Oryzias latipes: one gene and its partner. The protein of the gene in region 1 purifies or fractionates together with the protein of each later gene. This does not show direct contact. Links are inferred from orthologs where the notes say so. Each region holds a gene or a part of one and is shown on either strand. Other genes may lie near its edges. The genes, in order: lats1 and sav1.

Region 1 (11,159 bases):
GACACTGAAGATGAGGCTCCACAGGGGGATTAGCCTGAAGAGTCCAACATGAGCACAAACCTTCAGACACAGCAGAGAGATGTTCAAACCAGATTTTCCAAGAACATCCTGGAAATGCTGAGTTCAGAAAACCGAGATCCGCTGGTGAACTCAGGGTCCAGTCTGCCGATGAAGAAGCCTCAGCTGCTGACACAAGAATGGAGAGTGACGCAGCGTGGATGCCTGATCCGCCTGCGTCCTGAGCGGGACGTCAGCAGCTTTTATTTTGGTCCTGGACCTCCTTCAGAGCTCACCCTGGTTTTGTTCCCTCTCCACAGATTGCGAGGGAGCACGGGATTAGGTTTTTTGAGACGAGCGCCAAGGCCAACATCAACATCGAGAAAGCTTTCCTCACGTTAGCAGAAGACATTCTCAAAAAGGTGCGTGAGCCGCTCGCATCGTCCAGCTTTTCAATCACCGTCTGCTTGTTCAGCCGTTCAGGAACGGATGGACACTTTGTGGTTTAACAACACAGAACACTGAGAGTGCTGCCATTGATTTAGAGGAAACTAAAGGCTTAAGCTGCATTAAAGGCATCCAGACGTCTCCAAGCTGGAGCTGCAGGAGGAAACTGTAGAGTCCAAGCTCCGTCATTAATGAACAGAAAATGAGGAATTAGAAAAGGATGGAGCAGATCATTGAATTCAATTTTCAGGAGAAGCAGGTCAACAAAATAAATGCATCTCATTTAACTGTAGAAGGTTTGAAACCACTGCAGTGGATCCAGAAATGCTGACATGCATGTAGGATCCAAGCATGACAACAGCTGTTACATCCGTGTAAGTTGTCCAACAACTAAAAAAACAGCTCAGGTTTTCCCAAATCTTCTGTAAAAGTTTTTATTTTCCTTCTTTTAAGATTGTAGGAAAAGTAAAATATGCCAGTTACTAAATTAACCTGCAGAAATGACTAAAATGATTTATTTTACCTAAGAAACTATTTGTAAAGCCTGTAGACTAGGCCTGCACAATATACCGCAAATTTATCGTTATCGCAATATCCAGCTCTGCAATATGCATATCGCAAAAGACGGCGAATATCGCAATAAATCGCAAACCCAAAATGTGTTAAAACAATCTTCTAGCAGCTTGAAGCATTTAACAAATCAAATAAATCCCTTTATGCTTTGACCAATCAGATGGACGCCTTCCCATTGTTGACCAATCAGATGGAGGCCTATTATGTTAACCCTGGTCCTGAAGAGCCTCAACCCTGCCTGTTTTCCAGCTCTCCTTAACCAGCTTGCTGTTGATTGGCTGACTCAAGTGATTTCACATCCTGATTGACTGAACACACCTGATTTTGGTTATCATTATCGAGCAGTCTAGGGAGAATTGGAAAACAGACAGGGTTGAGGCTCTTGAGGACCAGGGTTAGCCACCCTGACGTTTTTCCCCCATGTCGATGAGGGTCATTTGGAGTATAATTTTTAAACTGTTGCAATGAAATGGGAATGATGTTTTTGTTCATTTTTCTATTTGTTTATTTACCGCAAATTTATCGTTATCGCAATATTGATCACTAATATCGCATATCGCAAGTTTTCCTCATATCGTGCAGCCCTACTGTAGACATAGATGTGCGTTCACATGTGTTCAGACGATCCCATGGATCTATATGGAGAGAGAAGACTGTCAAAATGAAACCTATGCTCGGAGACAAAGTTGAGCACATTTTGGAGGAAAAAGAAAAAAGAAAAGATGTGAGTGAATATGTGAAAAAGACTTTTCGTCGTTTGTATAGAAAAAGTCGTATTTGAAACAAAGACTAATCGTGTTTACAACAGAAATGTATTCCTTTTATTAAGTTTTGCTTTGTTCACAAGTTTGTCTATGCAAACACTTCATTTTGACAGAAATCTCACCCCAAAATAAAATGGATCAAAACTATATTTTTTTATTTGTAAAATGAATAATTATGGAATAAAAACTGTTTTTGTCTAAAATAATAATACAACAGTTCACCTTAAGGAAAAAAAAAATAATTTCATGGTTAAAACGGACATTTCTAAAGTGAAGATTAAACTTTTCTTCTGGGCTTTAAAGCTTTTAAAGTTGCATTTGACAAATTTCTTTTTTTTTAAATTCATTTTGGGTCGCAGCAATATAGAACCTGTTTGTTAGGGTTGAATTTTCAGGGTTAATTTAATAAAGATTTGTAAAATAATTGTAGTGTTGGTGGATCAGCTGAGTGTGTTCTATGTCTATGTCATGGTGGGGGAAAGCCGTCTGACGTCAGATTTCTGTCCGCTTTGTGCTCCAGACGCCCGTAAAAGAGCCCAACAGTGAAAACGTGGACATCAGCACCGGGGGCGGAGTCACAGGCTGGAAGAGCAAGTGCTGCAGCTGAACGCCACACGCAAACACACGTCTCCCTCTAACTGCTAACTGTCTCGCCCTCTAACCCGTCTCATGAGTTTTCTTGAACACTGACGCCCCCCCGTGTACCTGACCAGAATAAACCAATAAGCCACTTCACTCATCCTAACTCCTCCCCCTTTTCACTCTGCATCCAATCATTTTTATTTCTGATAAAAAGAGGAATCCAGTCACGTTTCTTGTCTTTTCTTTTAAAGGTTGTTGACGATAAAAGTGTGAAAGAGCTCATTTTAACTAAAAAGATCCCCCCCACCACCCACCCACGGCGTTCCCCCCTTCAGTCCCAGGAATCTGCGAATCAGCAAAGTAGGAAGAATATTTTGTACACTCAGTGAGGGGTTCTTCTTTATTGGATCATTTGTAACCAAGCAGCAGAGGCGTGGCCGGCTCCTTTTCTACGTGGGCGTTATTTTGTCCTGTGCCTTAAAAGGAAGACAGGGGCGGGGCTGTGCAGTGGGTGGAGCTACACCCACCAAATGAAATTACTATAATATTTCGTCACAAAGAAGCTGACTGAAGCTAAAGTGTTTGAATTTCTTCTCCAGCTAAGAGAACCGCGTTCTACAGTATGTCCTGTTTATCAATGTTTTCTTTTACTTTTTGTCTGTGTGGTTTCTTTCACTTTTCTTTTTTTTTTTTTTAACCCCCACCTACTTTGGTTAAAGTTTTGTGCATGCCGATATTTTCTCTTTTTAAAGGAGGAAGCGTTTCTGTATGGTGTCTAACTGGGTGGGAGGTGCACACGGTCTCTTTGGAAATTCAAACAATTTTGCAGATCCATTAAAAAAAGGCTTGTTTAAGTTAACTTGTTTGTCCTCTGTCCTTTTCACGCTTGAGTTAGACGGATCCAAACGTACAGCAGCATGATGGGAATGTTTACTTTAAACATAAAGTTTACAGAAATGCTGCTTAATGTGTCCCACTAAAGGTTTAAATAATTGAATTAGGAACTATACATTTCTCTAAAAATGAACTCATGTAAATTCCTGTTGAAGTTGTATTTCCAACCATTAGTTGTTATTTTCAGGCTTTGCTGCCATCTAGTGGTGGCAGTGCTCAAACTTTGTGTTGTAGAAAGGGATTCTGAATTTCCTCACTACTTACTCCACTATTTTAGGGCGTTTGCCATTTGGTCCGCATGTTCGAATCTACATTTCCAAAATCCAGTGTCTTGGAAAATTCCCAGAACTGTCAAAACCAGTATCGATGGTGAATATAGACCACAATGCATTGCACTTTGATGTGTCATTTGGAACAAAAGTACTTAGTTTTCCTCATCAGAACAGATGAACATAAAATGTTCATATTCTTTTTTTTAACTTCAGGAAATGGAGGATGTCATAAATAAAGTGAGTTTGTGTCCAGAGCACTGGATATTCCCGCATGTAGTTTTTTAGGGGTAAAGGAGTAGTGATGGAATTTAGGTAGACTGGAAATTTTTGTAATTTTAGGGCTTTTTAAGTCATATTTATGAAAGAGTATTTGGGCCACTGTAAAAGAAAACGTGCACAAATGAGAAAAATGTGACGGGAAAAGGTCAGCATTTTACAAGGATAAAAATCTAAAACAGTCCTTGTGCTATCTTAGATGACCCCACCCTTACATTGACGTGTTCTCCCTACCATGACAAAGGTGGATAAAGGTGGAAAGATTTCATGTAATCCATGGACACCAGTGAAGATCACAAATCATTGAAGAAAAATGGTTCAGAGCACTGTCTAGTGGGTCTAGATGACCCAACTCCCAATGTTAAAGTGCCTAGGATAGCACCAGGGTTAAAGGAAAATAAACAAGCTTAAATGTCATTTTTTACACGGAAAAGTCGTGCTTTTTCAAAATTCAAAAGTAACATTTAGCTTTTAAATTATTTGAACAAAGATGATTGAACTTGTTCCTCTTTCAGCATATCCCTTCAGGGATTGCCGCAGTGAATCCGCTTTTTACCCAGAATGCCCTTCCTGACAACCCTGCGTTTTATTCCGGTTGGGGACCGGCACAGGGCGACCCAGACTTGGGGCCCCTTGTGGCGTTGAAAACTTTATTCCTGTAAAAATGCCACTTTTCAAATGAATTTAGTTTTGTTCTCAAGTTGTCGACTTGAACTTTAATACATTTCAAATTTTACTACTTTTATGATTTCAATGACTTTTTCCTCATTTTACAACTTGATTCTCATTTTTCTTTAATGGTCTTATTTTTTTGTATTAAAAGTAAAAACACGAGTTTTTCTGGTATAAACACAAACACATTTTGCCGTAACTGAATAAATATAATTCAAATATTCCATCAAGTTTCCACCTGTAGATTAAGGGAAAAGAAAACCTTTCAAATCTGTTTATTTCTGACCCCTCATCCCAGAATCACATGTACAAAAAATAAACTTTAACAACGCAAACAAAAGCAGTGCGGGGCGAGGCGTCGCCGTGACAACTACATTCAGATGTTTCCTAAAGAGGACAGCAAGAACACCCCCCCACCCCCCCAACCACACACGAGGAAGAGTTTACCTTTCATCAGGTGCTAAAAAAGTGTGATTACCCATAATTCATAGTGTTTACTCCACCTGCAGGTTTATTGGGGCTCCAAACCCACATTTTTAGTGCTTTGGTTGATGAAAAAAGTTCAAAGTTCCTGTCAGAGACAGACACTGGCCCGTCTAGAAAGAAGAGGGCGGGGCTATGTACAACCTGTTTACAACTTCATTTATAAATACACTTTAAGTATAAATTAGAAAAATAAGACTAGTGTAGTACGATCAGCTACTGCTACTCATTTAAATGCCAGTCTGATTATTAACCTTCGTAATATTTGGTAAAACCACAGAATCAAAACAAAAGGCACAGCAAAGAATCATAGGAACCACTCCTCCCTGCTATGAAATCCCCATGGAAACGCATTTTAATATAAATTAGGACAACTTCTGAACATTCCTCAGATAAACGCAATTCTCATACACAAGCGGTATCTACAGCTTTAAATAAATTAAGTCGTTTGGGGGTTTAAGAGCACGCCGATTCACTTTTGAACCGTAGATTGTTCCTGAATGTGGGGGCGGGGTTTAAGGGTCCGGCGGAAGAGGCTGATATCAGACGGAGATTCTGAAACTAAGGAACTTCTAACATCTACTGACAGTCTGTCCTAGAAGGGTCAGTGTGGGACAAAAGCAGAACAGCCAGACGTGAGCTCAGACTCCAGTTTTTCCTCATGAAATAAAGTAGAAACAGGCTTTTGTCACGTGACGTGAACCGCTACACGTAGACCTGCTCCTGGCCCTGCGCGTCTGGGGGCACACCCTCGCAGTCCTCATCGTACTCGATGGGTTTGGGGCAGCTGTACGGGTGTCCGTAGCCGTCGAAGAAGCGTCGGAAGGTGAACTCGTAGAAGGCGTGCTCGGGATGCTTGCCGTTGCGGAACAGCGACGTCAGCGTGTCGTTGTGGTTGTTCTCGCTGTCCATGCTCCGCAGTTTGTCCGGGTCCACAGGGTCGAAGTTGGAGGTGTCCATGGAGTGGGCGATGGTGGGGATGTAGGGCGCCACCTGCTGCCTGAGGTCACTGGAGAAGTCGATGGTCCTGAAGAAAGAGTGGGCTTTGATTTCGTCAGCGCCGTTGGTGCCGAGGCGGTCTTTGGGGTCGCGACACAGTTTGACGATGAGATCAGACGCTTCGGGGCTGAGCTTGGCCTGAGGGGGGATGTGCAGCGTGGTCTTCCAGTTGATCACCTTCCAACACAGCGACAGAGGCGTTAGACAGAGGCACACAGGTTCAGGGCGCCTCACCGCAGCTGCTTCGTATACCTTTTTCTGGGTCTCCAATGGGGTGTTGGCGAAGAACGGCGGCTGTCCCACCACCATTTCGTACAAGATGACGCCCACGCTCCACCAGTCGCAGAGCTGCGTGTAACCTGCAGGGACACACCAACATTTGACATCCACACACGCTAAACAACTGCAGTTATGCAGAAAATCCAATCAGCTGCGGAAGAATTTGGCTGTGCATTCCTGCAATGGAAACGCTCGACGGCGTCTGAGTCTTCAACACAAACTCACTGAGATGACGTGTCCAACATGAACCACAAGAATCCTGAATCGTTAGGGAAACTCTTGAGATTTACCTGAACCACGTGAGGACCATTAAAGCTATAAAAAAAAAAAACACTAAATAACCCCTGAAAGCCTAAAGCTGCGTTCAAGCTGAACGCGGTTCTGCAGCCCGAGGTTCAAATATTCTTATTTTGACTAAGAATTTGCGTTACATCAACCAATCAGGAGCTCAGCTTTGGACGGTAACGTACCGATGAAGTAATGGAGGAGACCCGGATCGGCTTCCTCCTGAACTTTCATTTGCATAGAGACAATAATACTAAGGTATTGTGCAGGGGTCGAGCGGTCAACCTCTGATAGGAAGTTTACAGGTTCGATTCCTGCCTTGCCATGTGTCTAAGTGTCCTTGGGTAAGACACTGAACCCCACATTGCTCCTGGTGGTTCAGATTGGCGCCAGTGTTCAACAGCGGAGTGTGTGAATGGGAATGTGACTGTAAAACGCTTTTGCTCCATCCAAGCACACGCCGTTTACCATTTGTGGTCTGATAATTTTATTCTATTTACTCCCTCCTCTGACTAATGCGGGACAGGAAGTCTCCTGCAGCAGACGGTGAAGCTAACTGTACCGGGAGAGTCTCTGATGATGTCATGAACCCAGACATGGAGACGTGATTACCAACGCTTTAGTAGAACTCTTCTAAATAAACCTGGTCTCTCCCACACAAGGTCAAGGACACAAACAGTAAATGCTGCCATGAAGCAATCAGTCCAAGACCTTCACAGTAGCTCCGCCCACACGCATCAGGAGCCACAACTTTATGAACACATTTCCGGGACGAGCGTCCAGCAGAGGCAGTGGACAAAAATGGCATTTGGTGTGAACGCAGCATTAAGAGTTTGTTATTTTTAGACAAAAATGCTTTTATTTGGCTAAAAATCAAAGAAAAAGTGATGTTACAGGAAATATAAATATATAATAAATATATATATTTATATAAAGCTCTGATGTCACTCAAACTTGGAAGCAAAAAATCCTCCATTTGTAAAATAAGAGAAGATACCATTATGTAAAAAGGGGGGGGGGGGCAGCTTCAAAAACTTTCATTCTGAGCTTTTTTTGCATGAAATCTTTCGATTATAGATTAGAAAATTATTTGTATTTATCTGTAGTCATTAAATGTTAGTCTTTTAATTCCTAAAATGACTAAAAGTTTAAAGACAGACCCACTGAAAAATTGGAAAATTAAAATGATAAGATTAGAATTTTAATGATCTGATTAAACTCATTTTTAAATGTAAATGTTTTTTTAAGTAGATTTTAAAGAGGAAGTCACATTTATACAGCAGCTCCATACACTTCTAATATAAATGAGGTAGAAAAATCGACCAAAAAAAGAGAAAGTGGGATCAACAACCCCTCACCCGTATCGCCAGCCCCCCTCACCTGATCTGAGCAGCACTTCTGGGGCGATGTAGTTGGGCGTTCCCACCAGGGAGTGGGCCAGGCAGCGCTGGTGCTCCCGAGCCTTCCTCCTCTCCAGCGGCTTCAGGCGGTCTGAGCAGCGGCAGTTGGCAGACTCCTCCCACTCCTTGCTGAAGTCCATGCTGTCCTGCCTCACGTGGTCTCCTGGCATGGAGCAAAAACTGAGACCTCAGAGTCTGCACAGGAACGACTGACCCTCACACCTAAAACTTTATTTAAACCGGGTGGAGCAGAAACGTCACGGTCCTGAAGATCTTTTTCTATAAAGTGCCTCATAAACCTGCAGAACGCTGTGAATTCGGAGGAATACAGATATTTCTTCATTTATTGAACTGTTTTAGGGTGAATTGTCCTGAAGTTGAACTTTTGTTTTGTTTATTTAAAAGGAAAATTTGTTCAGTAAAGGGAAGAAGTTTTGGAAAATCAATCAACTTGAGTCAAAAGTGAGTTTTGAAATACTTAAGTGTTTTAAAGCAGCAGTTTGGGGCCATAATTTTGCAATTTTTTCGGTCATGGGTTTTTTTCCTCCAAGAAAAGTCTTCTATATTCAGAATTTGGTTGAATCAAACTTAAAAAAACAGTCATTATACAGAGAAGTAGTTCCTCGGGTTGAGGGAATTGAACGCACGGGCGGCACTCACCGCTCTGGTAGTACTTGGAGTCGTGCGTCCAGCGGAAACCGGTGCAGAGGCCGAAGTCTGTCAGCTTGATGTGTCCGTCTCGGTCGATAAGGATGTTGTCCGGCTTGATGTCTCTGTGGATGAAGCCCATCTTGTGGACGCTCTCCACGGCGCAGGTCAGCTCGGCGATGTAGAACTGCGCCAGGTCCTCCTTGAAGATGCCCAGCCGGATGAGGAGGCTCATCATGTCCCCCCCGGGGATGTACTCCATGACAAAGTACAGGTTGTCCTTGTCCTGGAAGGAGTAGTAGAGCCGCACCACCCACTCGTTGTCTGCCTCCGCCAGGATGTCCCTCTCAGCCTTCACATGCGCCACCTGGTTCCTCAGGAGAACGTCCTTCTTGCGGAGGGTCTTCATGGCGTACAGCGACCCCGTGTCTTCTTTTCTGGCCAGGCACACCTGACCGAAGGCCCCGATGCCCAGAGTCTTGATCTGCTTGAACATGGACTTCTCCATCTTGGCGCGCTTCAGGCGGATGTAGTTGGACTCCTTCTGGCAGAGCATCATCCGCATCTGCTCCTGAGCTTCTGAGGACAACCCCACCTGAGACGGAAACAAGCACAGTCAGCAAAAAACACGCCACCTGCAGCTTTTTCACAAACCGTGTTCAAGCGTTAAGTTAAACGTTGGGGTGGGGGCTGGGGGACATGCTAGCATGCTTGACTGATGCAGCTCAGAAGAAGAAGAAGATCAGACCTGAAGCAGCAGAAATGTTTACCTTTCAGATCAGGAAATAAAGACAAAGCAGCTAAGAAAAAAAGAGCAAGAGAAAGGTCAAAGGGCGTCCACAGATTGGGGGAATGGGGGTGTCGGACCCAGAGGGGGAGGTTCCTCACCCGCTGCATCTCGCTCTCCAGCTGCTTCCTCCTCCGGATCCTCTGCTGGTGGTTCTTCAGGATGTTTTCCACGTGTTGCTCCATGAAGAACTTGAAGGCCTGGGGGGAGTACAGTGCCACCCTCCCGGACTCCCCCCTGGGCTCGTCCTTCTTGTTGCGGCGGACGGGGACGGGCGAGGTGGTGATCTGCTTCCTCTCCTTCTCTGCTGCCGCAGTTTCAGGGTTTTCTGGCGCCTTCTCTCTGGAGTTCTCGCCACTTGCCTCCTCCTCTGCCGCCTCCTCTCTGCTCAGCTTGTTGGTGCCAACAACATACGCTGGCTGTAGGAGGTGCTTGGGGTAGGGCGGGGGAGGGCCCTGATAGCCAGGCGCCTCAACAGGAGCCTGGGAAACGGGGAGGGAGGGCTCCGAGTATGTAGGTCCCGGCAGCGCCCCCTGTTGGATCCAGGGAGGGTGCGTGGGGGCGACAGCTGTCTGAGGCTCGGGTTTATGGACTTTGGTGCTCCTGACGGGGTTCAGGATGGGGGCCGGCGTGATGGCGGTGACGGTGGTGGCAGAGGGCTGGGAGCTGGCGGGGTGAGCAGGCCTACCGTTCAGCTGGGGGGTGTTGAAAGAATTGGAGCGGACGGGCACGTTGTGCTGCCACGACGGGGACAGGTCCTGGTTGCTGTTGCAGTTGGCAGGCGGGGGCTGGCTCTGGGACCAGGACTGGGGGGCAATGCCGTACATCTCCAGGTTGTGGCTGTTCCGGTTACTGATCATCAGGGATGGAGGGATCCCGCCGCCGTTGATGTAGGAAGGAGACGAGGCGGGTCCCCCCACCTGGGGGTCAGTGGAGCTGCTCTGAGTAAGAGGGTAAGGGGGAGGGGGCTGTCTGCTCCCCCCTGACACATGCTCCGGTTGGGAGGAACCACTCTGAGTCCAGCTAGAGGGAAAGGTGAACTTGCTCCCCCCGGAGCTTTGCATTATGATGGGCTGGTGACTTCCAGCGGCGGGGCCGATCACTCGCTGGTTCGGGGCTGCGGGGGTTGGATACCCATCAGCCCAGGGGGCCTGAGGCACCGGGGATATGCGGGTGGGGAAGAAATCCATATTTCCAGGGAGGCGGTTAGTCTGCGGGTTGTTGTCCCAGGACGGCGCAGGTGGCATGGCCCGGTTGGGGGGAGGTGTGACGCTGCGCATCTGAGGAGGGAGGGGGGGGTTGACCCTCTGGTTGGCAGTCGGGTGAGCCTGCGAGAACGAAGGGGGGGGTCCGGGGCTGTCCGAGCGGTACATCATCCCGTCCACCATATTGGGGCCGTGGCGAGAGCCCAAAGACTCCATGGAGCCTTTCCAGCTCGGCCTCCGCAGCACCACCTGCGGCATGTGGAAGGCTTCTATACACACACACGCACACACACATCGTTAGACTAAGCACACATTCAATGCCGCACAACAGCTCCATCTTTGGCAAAAAGTGAAACTGCTTACATGCAGGATAATAATCTGATTTGAAATCAATCAATGCCTTGAAACCATAAATTTAGCCAGATTGGGATTATATCTGGGATTAAACACAAACCAGGAATATAGATTAACAAACCACAGCAAAAGATTACATGAATGGAATCTTCCCCTCAGTTATTTAATTTTATTTAGGGATTTTTTTTTTAAATTCAAGCTTTCCTAAATAACCTGAAGAATTTCATAAATGTTCGTTTTCA
Region 2 (10,962 bases), on another chromosome or scaffold:
CATGTCGGCGCCCCCCTACCTGCCTCGCAGCCTGGGCGACCTTCCCCATGATTACCGGGGCTCCACGCAGTCCTTCCTCACGGACGTGAGCCACGTGTCGGAGAACGGAGACGCGGCCCGCTTTTATTACCCCCCCGAGGCGTATTACGACAGCCCGCAGCAGCAGCGACCCCGAAGGGCGGCAGAGCGCTTTCCCGACGACTACAGATACTTTGAACCCGGCGAACACAACTTCATGAGACATCCCCGCCAGCACACGCCCCCAGCCCCGAGCCGCCCCCCCTCAGGTAAACGGTGTTGGGATAGATTGAAAAGTGTTGTAGAATCAAGATGTGAAGATAAGAATGAAGAGCTGATGGTTTCTACTGCAGGTTTTACCTGAAAAGATGAGATCATCTTTTAAAAACATCTTTGAGTCAACGATCATAGATCTGACATAGATCCTCTGATGGATGATCCACAAATCCATGATCCACAGATCTACGATCCACATATCTATGTTCTACAGATCTATGATCCACAAATCTATGTTCTACAGATCTATGATTTACCGATCTATAATCCACCGATCTATGATTACACATCTATGGTCAATGATTGAAGGGGGTTTTTATTGTCATTGCCGGTGAACAGACAGACATTACAGACTAGACTGCGGCGCCACATAAAACGCTGAGAAACAAAAATGAACAACAGTAAGCAAAATAAAAAATAACAAAAAAAATAGATCAACGGATCTTTGATTTTTTGTCGAGGAAGACCTGCTGATCTATAATTTACAGATCTGCGATCCACTGATTCTATAATGTGTGTACCACAGATCTATAATCCCTTGATCTATGTTCCATTGATGTCTGATCTATAGATCTATTCTCTTTGGAAGACCCGCTGATCCACTGATCTACATTCTGTGGGTCTATGATCCACTGATCTACATTATTCGGGTCTATGATCCACTGATCTACATTCTGTGGCTCTATGATCCACTGATCTAGATTCTATGTGTCTATGATCCACTGATCTACATTCTGTGGGTCTATGATCCACTGATCTAGATTCTGTGGGTCTATGATCCACTGATCTACATTCTGTGGGTCTATGATCCACTGATCTAGATTCTGCGGGTCTATGCTCCACTGATCTAGATTCTGCGGGTCTATGATCCACTGATCTAGATTCTGCGGGTCTATGATCCACTGTTCTAGATTCTGTGGGTCTATGATCCACTGATCTACATTCTGTGGGTCTATGATCCACTGATCTAGATTCTGTGGGTCTATGATCCACTGATCTACATTCTGTGGGTCTATGATCCACTGATCTACATTCTGTGGGTCTATGATCCACTGATCTAGATTCTGTGGGTCTATGATCCACTGATCTACATTCTGTGGGTCTATGATCCACTGATCTAGATTCTGTGGGTCTATGATCCACTGATCTAGATTCTGTGGGTCTATGATCCACTGATCTAGATTCTGCGGGTCTATGATCCACTGATCTAGATTCTGCGGGTCTATGATCCACTGATCTAGATTCTGCGGGTCTATGATCCACTGATCTAGATTCTGCGGGTCTATGATCCTCAGCTGAATCGTCATAGATCTGTAGGTCATAGATCTGCAGTAGGTCTCAAGCGGAAAACCTGGTGTTTATTCAAAGCTTTCTGGACCGTTTGCTTCCCCCTCGTGTTGCTCCCCCTCACCGGAGGTTAAAGGTCACCACACGGAGCACATGCTGATGTTTGACCCGTGGTTAAAGCGGTTCCTGGTGGTTCCTTCACCACATCAAACTCAGACTCTCATCTTTTTTCCCGTCTGGACGTCTTCATTCGTCGTAGAACTTTAGTCTGCGTTTGGGAAACCCGTTTCCATGTCGGTGACTCTTAAACATTTGCTCCTTCGGGCGTCTTCTCGTATCAAATTCCTGCGGGGCGTCTGGATCTTTCTGTGGAAAAGGTCAGGAATGACGATGAGGAGGTGAAGGAGGAGACCGCATTCCTTCTGCCGCAGAATGTGTCTAACTCCAGCCGGCGTTTAGGCGGGAAGCCCCTCCCCTCGCTCGCCTGCAGCTGTCGGACCCGCATTCCTCGCCGACCTTCACCGGGAGCGCTCCAGGAAGTGTTGACGGAGCTCTCCCTGGTGGAGCAGAGAGCTTCCTGTCCTCGGCGCTCCCGCTTCCTTCCGTTCGTCCCGCAGACCCGCCGCCTCTTTCCCACACAGAGAAAACATTCCGGTTTTCCCCGGAGTCTCCCGGTTTTCCCGATGTTTCTCTGTTTCCTTCAGGCATCAGCCAGATCCAGGCCAAGTCTCTGGGGAACCTGTCCAGCCTGGCGGGGGAGGACCTCCCCCTCCCAGCCGGTTGGACGGTGGACTGGACCATCCGCGGCAGGAAGTACTTCATCGACCACAACACCAACACCACCCACTGGAGCCACCCCCTGGAGAGGGAGGGGCTCCCCCCGGGCTGGGAGAAGGTGGAGTCCGCCGAGTTCGGGGTCTACTATGTGGACCACGTCAACAAGAGGGCGCAGTACCGACACCCGTGTGCCCCCAGGTCTGCTAACGCCCCGGTTTCAGGGCTTATTTCAACATTTAAACACCACAAGTATAAATGTTTACATTAATATCAAAACATTAAAAGTGAAACAATTACATTTTATTAGTGTAGCCTAAATTCACAACAACAGTGAATTATGTATATATAAATATATAGACCCCCCCATAACCATGGATGATGGCGTAGCTTTAAGGCGTAAACAGACATTTTTTCCTCCTAAAAAGCCTCATTTGATGCTCAGAAAACCTTCAGGTTGAAAATCAGCTCCGATCCGAACGCCGTCATTCTGCAGTTCAGCCTTTTCAGCTCATTCAACTTTTAGTAAAAAGCTTTTTAACGAAAAATGTTTTTAACATTTTTGTTGGTTTCGTAAAAGAGATTCCAGCCTTTTTGTGTTTGGCATATTTATCTGTGCTGCACATCTTTTTTCATCTAATTTCAGACGATATTGAGCTTCAACTTTTCTGAGAAATCTGAGATTTCTGTAAATCCATCTTTATGTTGGTATTTAGCTGATTGAACTTTTTCATTAATAACAGTTTTTTTAAACTATTATCCCATTTGTTATTTAGTTACTAATTATATTTATCCTTTGAAGATCTTTATAACTCTTACTCATTCAGCCATTTTAAGTGTTTTTCTCTTAATAATTTAGTATTATTTGTATTCATTATGCTGCTGTTTTACCATTTTATTGTGAAACCTGACTGGTTTTAGCTACGTTAGCGTTTTGTTCATGTTAGCGTATTTTTTGTGTTAGCATGTTGTCTATGTTAGCTTGTTATCTATGTTAGCGTGTTGTTCATGTTAGCGTGTTTACTATGTTAGCGTGTCCTTCATGTTAGCGTGTTGTCTATGTTAGCGTGTCGTTCATGTTAGCATGTTGTTCATATTAGCATGTTATCTATGTTACCGTGTTGTTCATGTTAGCATGTTGTCTATGTTAGCTTGTTATCCATGTTAGCGTGTTGTTCATGTTAGCGTGTTGTCTATGTTAGCGTGTCGTTCATGTTAGCATGTTGTTCATATTAGCATGTTATCTATGTTAGCGTGTTGTGTTAACATGTTGTCTATGTTAGCCTCTTGTCTATGTTAGCTTGTTATCTATGCTAGCGTATTGTTCATGTTGTTAGCATGTTGTTCGTGTTAGCATGTTGCTCAGCGTTGTGTAGCGTCTGTAGTTTGAACCCGTAAGACTGATATTCTTATAGAAACTGGTTTGTTCTGTTCTCATGAATCCATGGTCCAGCGTGCCGCGCTACGACCAGCCGCCACCCCTGCCCCCGCCTGTCACCTACCAGCCCCGCCCGGCAGAGAGGAACCAGCCGGTCCTGGTACCGGCCAACCCGTACCACACGGCCGAGATCCCAGACTGGCTGCAGGTGTACGCCCGCGCCCCGCTCAAGTGAGTCGGACCAGAACTGGTTTCTGAGAAACCTCCATCCAGAGAGTTGTTGGTTTGTCTGTTTGAACTGGAGAGAGGTTCGATTCCCGCCCTCTGCAGGCTGTTGAAGACCTTTCTGAGACCCGTCTGCTCCTCAGGTACGACCACATCCTGAAGTGGGAGCTGTTCCAGCTGGCCGACCTGGACACGTATCAGGGAATGCTGAAGCTGCTCTTCATGAAGGAGCTGGAGCACATCGTCAAGTCCTACGAGGCGTACCGCCGGGCGCTGCTGTCCGAGGCGGACGCCCGCTCACAGCGACAGCAGTGGTACAGCAAGAACTTTGTGGCCAACATGTGACGACCTCAGAGTTCATTTTAGAAAACCCATCTGTGCCTTCGCTTGATCCAAAGCATGGACGGGAAGAGGGGCGGCCCCACACGCCTCAAACAGAGGAGCTCTTTGCTGGGCAACAGTCAGAGAGCTGCAGCTTTAAAGTGTGGGTTCTGCTCCGACCCAAACCCCAACGTTTCGCCGTTCCTGCACGCCTCACCCGACAATCCTCCGAAGCTCGGCTGCCATTGATGGACGCCGCTCTGCGTTGGCGCTCGCTCGAAAAACCCGTTTTCCTGAACCATAAGCTACTAGAACGTTTGAATCTCACCAAATATGTGCAATTCAGCATTTTTTTTCTGGATTTTTAATGAATTTTTGTGGACTGGTCCAAATGAAAACCTCCGCTGCTCTGTCGGAGTCAGGACTCGAACACGCCTGAAACCCTGTACCTGTGCGGGAGCGTCCAGCCTGCTCCTATGAATAACCTTCAGAAGCGGTAACGTCTGCGGTGACGGAGGGATAAACGTTTACTTCATCAGCAAAACAAACATTTCTGCGTTTGTACATATTTGTCACATTTAGATGTTTCAAAATAAAACTCAAAGTTTAAAAAAACGAAAAACAAACCCAAAGACGTCCAAACCTGTAAAAAAGTCTTTTTCCTTCAGATCTAAAGACGGAGACTTTTCATCAGAACCGTGGTCACGATGGCGAGTGATGCGCATGAATGAGTGGACGGACGCGGCGGTTCTGCTGGGTTTTTGGTCCGATGGCGGTTTCTCTGAGAGCGTTCATGTGATGAGTGGAGAAGATGAGGCGGTGGGACGTTTCTGCGGCGTCCGGCCCGTCTTCCTGCAGCTCACCGATGATCCGAGGGATCCGGAGCGGCGGCGGCGGCATTCCTCCGCCCCGCCGGTCCGGGCGTAAAGCTGCAGCCGTGCAGGAGCGGCAGGACGATACGGCACAACAGCACTTTGTCACAACCATTAACACAACATGAGGAGCTGGACGCGCATGCGGCAGCGGCGCACCACGACACATCAACGGACGCAAGCGGCTCTCAGAGAAGCGGCGAGGAGGAGGAGGCTGGAGCTCCTCCAGCCGAGCTGGACGCCAAGACGCTCCCGGGGAGCGGCGCCGGCCGGAGTCTGGATCAAGGGTGCTCCTCCGCCTCTGTCCTCCTCTTCATCACCAGTTCAGTCCCTGCGGTCTTCGTCAGTCGCTCTTCTTCTCCTGCTCTGCTTCCTCGTCCGCTCGAGGTCCCGGGAAGGCGTGGTGGTACAGGTGTCTGTGATTGGCCGCCACGTTGTAGAGCTTGTAGAGCGCCTGTGAACACAGAGGGAGGGGCCGGATCGTTATTCGAACCCAAATGGACCCGACTGCACAAAGTTTTTATGGATCACGGAAACAGAATCAGAACTTCTGATGAACCGGCGAGTTCAGCAGCTGGAAGATCCGGAGCAGAAAGTTTCTCCATCATCCTCTCACGGAGAACACTGGACAGAGGAGAACCTTCACAGGAACCAAAGAGGGTCCAAGAACAGGAGGAGGACTCGACAGACCTCTTTGGACTCAGTTCAGGTCAAAGGTCACGACCCAACAGTCAGAAAGAGACTTTAGGACAAACGTGGATCCATGAGAGACGCTGCTGAGGAACAGGAACATCTGGAGGATCCACTGGACCTCTGGACTGATGTTCTGATCAGACACAAGAACATCTGGACTCACTTCCAGAGTCAGGCATGGAGGTGGCAGTGTGATGGTGTGGGGCTGAACGTCCTCCCTCAGAACAAAGATCTAAACTCAGCATGTTTGATAACCTCCATTTAAATCCACATTTTTTATCACCTCTCCTAAACATTTTCTGTTCCAAATATGCACAAATATATTTGTGTGTTTCTGCATTACAAATGAATAAAATTTAAATTATCGATGATAAACGTTTCATTTCATGTTTTGTTTCCTAATTTGCCTTAAATGCAGATCAGAGCTGCAAAGACACAAACGATTGGAAAGTTTCACCAAAATGAAGCAGAAAAAGCTCCACTTGATCCCAGATTTGACTTTTAGTGACTAAAACGTCTACAGAAGAAAGTTTCACCCAAATAAGGTTTGACGGTTAAAAGGCTGATCTGAAGTCAAAAACATTTTTAACTTTTTAAAAACTTTTCTCCGCAGTGGAACCAGCAGGGTTCAGGTTTGAACATGTCTGGGTGTAAAACAGACACGGGAGAACGTCGACCTCCATGCGTGGCGTGGAGCTGGCGTGAGCAGACATGCAGCGGCGTGGACGGGGGTCACTCACCTCGTTGGTGCTTCCCTGCAGAGGCGGGAAAAGAGATGAAAGCAGCGGTTAGTTCGGTCAAACGGAACCCAAACATCTGCTGAAGCTCTCTGCTGCCACCTAGTGGCTCAGAAAGTCATTTATACTCAAGGGCGAAGCCACGTGGACCGGCCTGCCCCCAGGTGTGACCCAGCCTCACCTGGTCCCACAGCGCGCCGGCCACCTGGTCGATGACGGCGCCGAGCTCCCGGTACTCCCCGGAGTAGCGGATGTACGCCCAGGTGCAGAGCGTGATGAGCGCCAGACCCAGGATCATGTTGCACAAGCTGGCGATGATGTCCACGCCCACGAAGCCCGTGATCCCCGCCGCCACGTACATGACGAAGATGACCACGAAGAGTGTGGCGGGCGTGCGGGCGGCGTGGAAAATGTTCTTGGAGTCGTTGTGCTTGATGTACTGGACGAAGACCTCGTCGATCTCGCCCTCCAGCTGCTGCAGGTACCTGCGGCTGAAGTCCTCGCCTCCCATCTTCTTGACGCCGCGGAACAGCTGCAGCGCCTCCTCCCTGACGCCGCCGTGGCGCGCCTGCAGCTCGCTGGGCGCCATGAAGGGCCGGTCGCCCCCGCAGACCTGGAGCCGGGAACAGGCGTGAGCCAGCGGGAACGCGGCGTGTCGGAGAAGCGGGCTCCACCCACCTGCTCCATCTTTTTGTTGTACAGGTCCTGCGCAGCAGCAACCGCCGCCAAGTTATTGGCCTCCGCCGTGGCCTGATGAGAAATGCAAAGGTCACTCAAGGAAGTTGGCTTTTGATTGATAGTTGAGGGAGAAGTTAAGGGGAACCCACAGAGAGCAGAAGTTCTTCACAAGTTTTTCCTCCTTTATGCTTTGAATACAGTAATAGGAAATCTAATTTTCTGGTTTTCAAACAGATCTAAAACATTTTCCAGAAAATAGAGATTTTGAAGAATCCTGAATCTTTTTTCTGATTCTGTGTGTTCGACCCCCTTAACTTCCCCCTGAACTCCTCACGGCCCCCACTGCCGTACCTGCAGCATGGACTTGGGGTGGGGCAGCTCCTCGCCCTGGTAGATCTTGATGTACGCCTGAAACACAAAGCTGTGAGACGCGTCCAGACGGAAGTCGGCGTCTCCTCCGCGCCCGCTCTGACCTTGAAGTACTCCAGCAGGCCTCTGCAGGTGATCCTGCTGCCGTTGATCTCCTTCACGTCGATGTTTCCAGGACTGAGGAGCCACGGAACCAGAACCTTCAGGTTGTTGATGAACTCGCCATCGATCTCTGGACGGAAAGACGGGACAAGGGAAGAGGTGAGGCCGTCCAGACCGGGTTCTGTTCACCTGCTTTCAGTCCAGTTCTGACGAACCGGAGAGAACCTGCAGGAGTCTTTGCTGCTGTGGCTGAAGAAGCTTTGATCAGCTGGTCACAGCTGCACACGACCGACTCATTAGAAAAAAACAACACTTTTCAAAATGGCGGCTTTTCTGTTGCTTTATCTCCATAGCAACCATTCCAGGTTTGGGGTGTCGGGGGGCGATGAGCGGGTTTTCGTCATTTTTAGAGAAATCAGCAGAAAAAAATGTTTGGATTTCCTTGGCAACAGAGGTATTTTGGTTAACCACGCCCACATTCCCTAATATGGTCGTATCCTATGTCATCTCGTTTCCGTTAGCTTGTATTTCAATTAACGTTGTGTTTTAATTCTGATCATACACACTTCCATCAACCCTTTTTTGATACAGGTTTTGATGATTTTGGTTGTTTTTATTTGGTTCTGGTCAGAATGTTAGAATCCACCACCTTGAGTTTAACAGCTTTTAAAGCAAAGTTCAGCGTTTGTGGACCTGCAGCTCCTTAACGACCCGGAAAAGTGAGCGGAGTCTTTGGTTTCAATCAAGTTATTCCATGAGAATGTCGTTCCTCTTTCTGTAGAAAAAAAAACTCCACCTTGATTTAGTGTTTGACATTTTTCCGCTGCGCAAAAAGAAACCAGACGGCGTCCAAAAGCATCTCATTATTAAAGTATTCAGTTTGAACTAAATCAGAAGATTCCAACCTAAAAGCAGCAGAAGTCCCTACCTTTCATTCTCCCGTCAAAGTGGGGGTTGGTGGCCACCTTCAGGCCGGGGTGGGGCATCAGGAAGCAGGAGATGTTGGTGAAGCAGGAGTGGATGTGCTTCCGGACGTTCTGCAGCTCCTCGTGCTGGTTCTCCGAGATCTGCGGCACAAATTCGGCTCCGGTTAAAGAAAAATCGGCGCCGCCGTTGGGCCGGAGGAGAGTCGGCGAGCTCTGACCTTCAGCCTCTTCTCCAGGAACTTGGTGCCTCCTTCCAGGCCGTATGGGAACTCGTACGGAAAGCTCCAGTCTCGCACCAGGAAAATCATGGACTAAAGAAGGAAGGAGGAGCAGCGGCTTAAACCTTCAACACATCTCTGTGGTCGCTGCATGAAAAATGGGTGGAGCCCCTGCTGCTCACCTGGAAGGGTTTGAGGAAGGTCTCCTCCATGGCTAACCTCCCATACTCTGTAAAAAGCTGAAACCAAAAGCAGAATCTTGAGGTGCAGGAGTTGATCTGAAGCTTCAGGATGTCTGTGTTCATGACTGTTAGTTGTTTGTTACCATGGTGACGTTACTGAAAAGGGGGGTCAGAATATGTCTGCATCTGACTGACCAAGCCCCCCCACAGACACACACACACACACACAATCCACTCTGTGTTCCTGAATATAAAGCAAACCAGGAAGTACCAAATGCTGCAGTTCCTGAACTGACCACTAGAAGCTGGTTTCAGAAGGAAGGAACTCAACTTTGACATTTTTATTGTCTGTGGAGGGGTGTGTGTGCTGGTGTGTGTGTGCAGGTGTGCGTGTGCAGGTGTGTGTGTGTGTGCAGGTGTGTGCGTGCAGGTGTGTGTGTGAGCAGGTGGGTGTGTGTGTGTGTGTGTGTCTGTGTGTGTGTTGCAGGTGGGTCTTTTCTTCCCCGTGAAGTTGTCTGTAAGCAGACAAACGTCTGAAACTCTGGACAGTTTTACCTGCAGGTGTTGGAGGTCGTCCTCCTGCACATTCTGTGAGATGTTGTAAACCTAAAAGATTAAGCAGAAACATTAGAGAACGGACAGAAAAATGGTTCCTGCAACGGTTCTCCAGACGAGACGGGAAAAAAAGTTCATTTCTATGTGGTCTGTGACATGGTTTCATATTGAAGGATGTGTTAGAGAGGCAGAGACTCTCTAAACTGAAAGGGCGTGTCCAGCAATGGAGGAGAGTTTGGAATGATCATCTACAGAGAAGAACATCTGCCGATGCCAATCAAGAGCACTCGATTGAAGTTGATGAGAAAAACATTTAAGGTCATTTCTGCTGTTTGTTCTTGCCATATGTGGAGCTTCAGTAAGCTCCGCCCACCTCAGACTGAGGAACTGCAGAAGATCGAGGAGCCGCATCAGAATGTCCGACATTAAGGTATCATCAGCCAAAGTCCAGCTGAGCTTTGAGGTCAAGGTGGTGATGTTCATGAGAACGTCACCTGGAACATCTGACTAACTGACAAGCACGGTGGTGGAGGTGTAATAATTAGCACCGTAGTTGAATATTTGACAAAACTGAGCAGCAACCAAACCATTCAAGGATTTCATCTGGTATTCTGATGCCTGCTGAGAATTTATTTTACATGCACTTCAGGTGTGCCTGCAGTCTAGGTGTGCCTGCAGTGGTCAGGTACCTGCATGGAGCTTATCATGGTGCTCAGAGCAAACACAGTGGCGGAGTCCCTCAGGGTGGACTGGCTGTCAAACGTTCCCTGAGTGTCCATCAGCAGCACAGCGACCTGCGGGACACAGAGGAAGACGTTTGAAGGACCTTTGTCTCCTGCAGATGAACTCTGGTTCAGGTCACTTCAGTGTGACGCAGAGGAGGAGGAGAACCGAAGGGAGGAGGTGCTGTAAGCTCCTTGTGTTTGAACCAAACAGCCACAGTGTGAGTCTGAAGAAGCAGGAACCTTAAAGAAGTATGGAGATGCATGCTGGGTAAAGGAGGAGCAGTGGGGAGCTGAAGAAACTCCTTCAGAGATGATCCTCAGAGGAGCCGACGGTTCTTCTCCCTGATGTTTTCTGTTCCAGTTTGACATTTTTGGACAACAGCGCCCCCCAAAGAGCAGCTGATGGAGCAGCAGTTTGGTTCTCTTCGGAACGGAAACCGAGCCAGGCGGGACAACAGAAGTCATTCTTACCTTCCGTCCATCCGGTTTGTCCACCAGAAAGACCTCGCTCCAGATCTGGATCCCCGTGGTCTCCCTCTCAGAGCCCCCCCTCCAGGAGAAGCCGGTCAGAGGCTCGTCCGAATCTCCCACCCAGTTTTCCGTTGTCTGTGCAACAGAAGCTGTCA

Evidence for each region.
Region 2: the proteins of lats1 (region 1) and sav1 purify together in Homo sapiens (affinity purification with western blotting; 3 studies listed by BioGRID). This does not show direct contact. The link is inferred for Oryzias latipes from reciprocal best matches to the Homo sapiens genes LATS1 and SAV1.

The regions. Positions count from the first base shown.
Region 1 is NC_019882.2:17,717,790-17,728,948, reverse strand, and holds the end of lats1 (serine/threonine-protein kinase LATS1), read right to left. Parts: intron 10,833-11,159; coding exon 9,460-10,832; intron 9,167-9,459; coding exon 8,584-9,166; intron 8,087-8,583; coding exon 7,904-8,086; intron 6,319-7,903; coding exon 6,212-6,318; intron 6,137-6,211; coding exon 5,666-6,136; 3' UTR 4,737-5,665; downstream 1-4,736. Other genes in the region: rab10 (ras-related protein Rab-10), read left to right, coding at 318-419, 2,302-2,388. UniProt on the Homo sapiens protein: Negative regulator of YAP1 in the Hippo signaling pathway that plays a pivotal role in organ size control and tumor suppression by restricting proliferation and promoting apoptosis.
Region 2 is NC_019880.2:1,308,306-1,319,267, forward strand, and holds the end of sav1 (protein salvador homolog 1), read left to right. Parts: coding exon 1-287; intron 288-2,285; coding exon 2,286-2,556; intron 2,557-3,808; coding exon 3,809-3,964; intron 3,965-4,101; coding exon 4,102-4,303; 3' UTR 4,304-5,494; coding exon of another isoform or gene 5,495-5,605; 3' UTR 5,606-6,219; downstream 6,220-10,962. Other genes in the region: atl1 (atlastin-1), read right to left, coding at 5,495-5,605, 6,585-6,599, 6,763-7,194, 7,260-7,331, 7,611-7,667, 7,733-7,860, 8,659-8,797, 8,875-8,967 and 4 more. UniProt on the Homo sapiens protein: Regulator of STK3/MST2 and STK4/MST1 in the Hippo signaling pathway which plays a pivotal role in organ size control and tumor suppression by restricting proliferation and promoting apoptosis.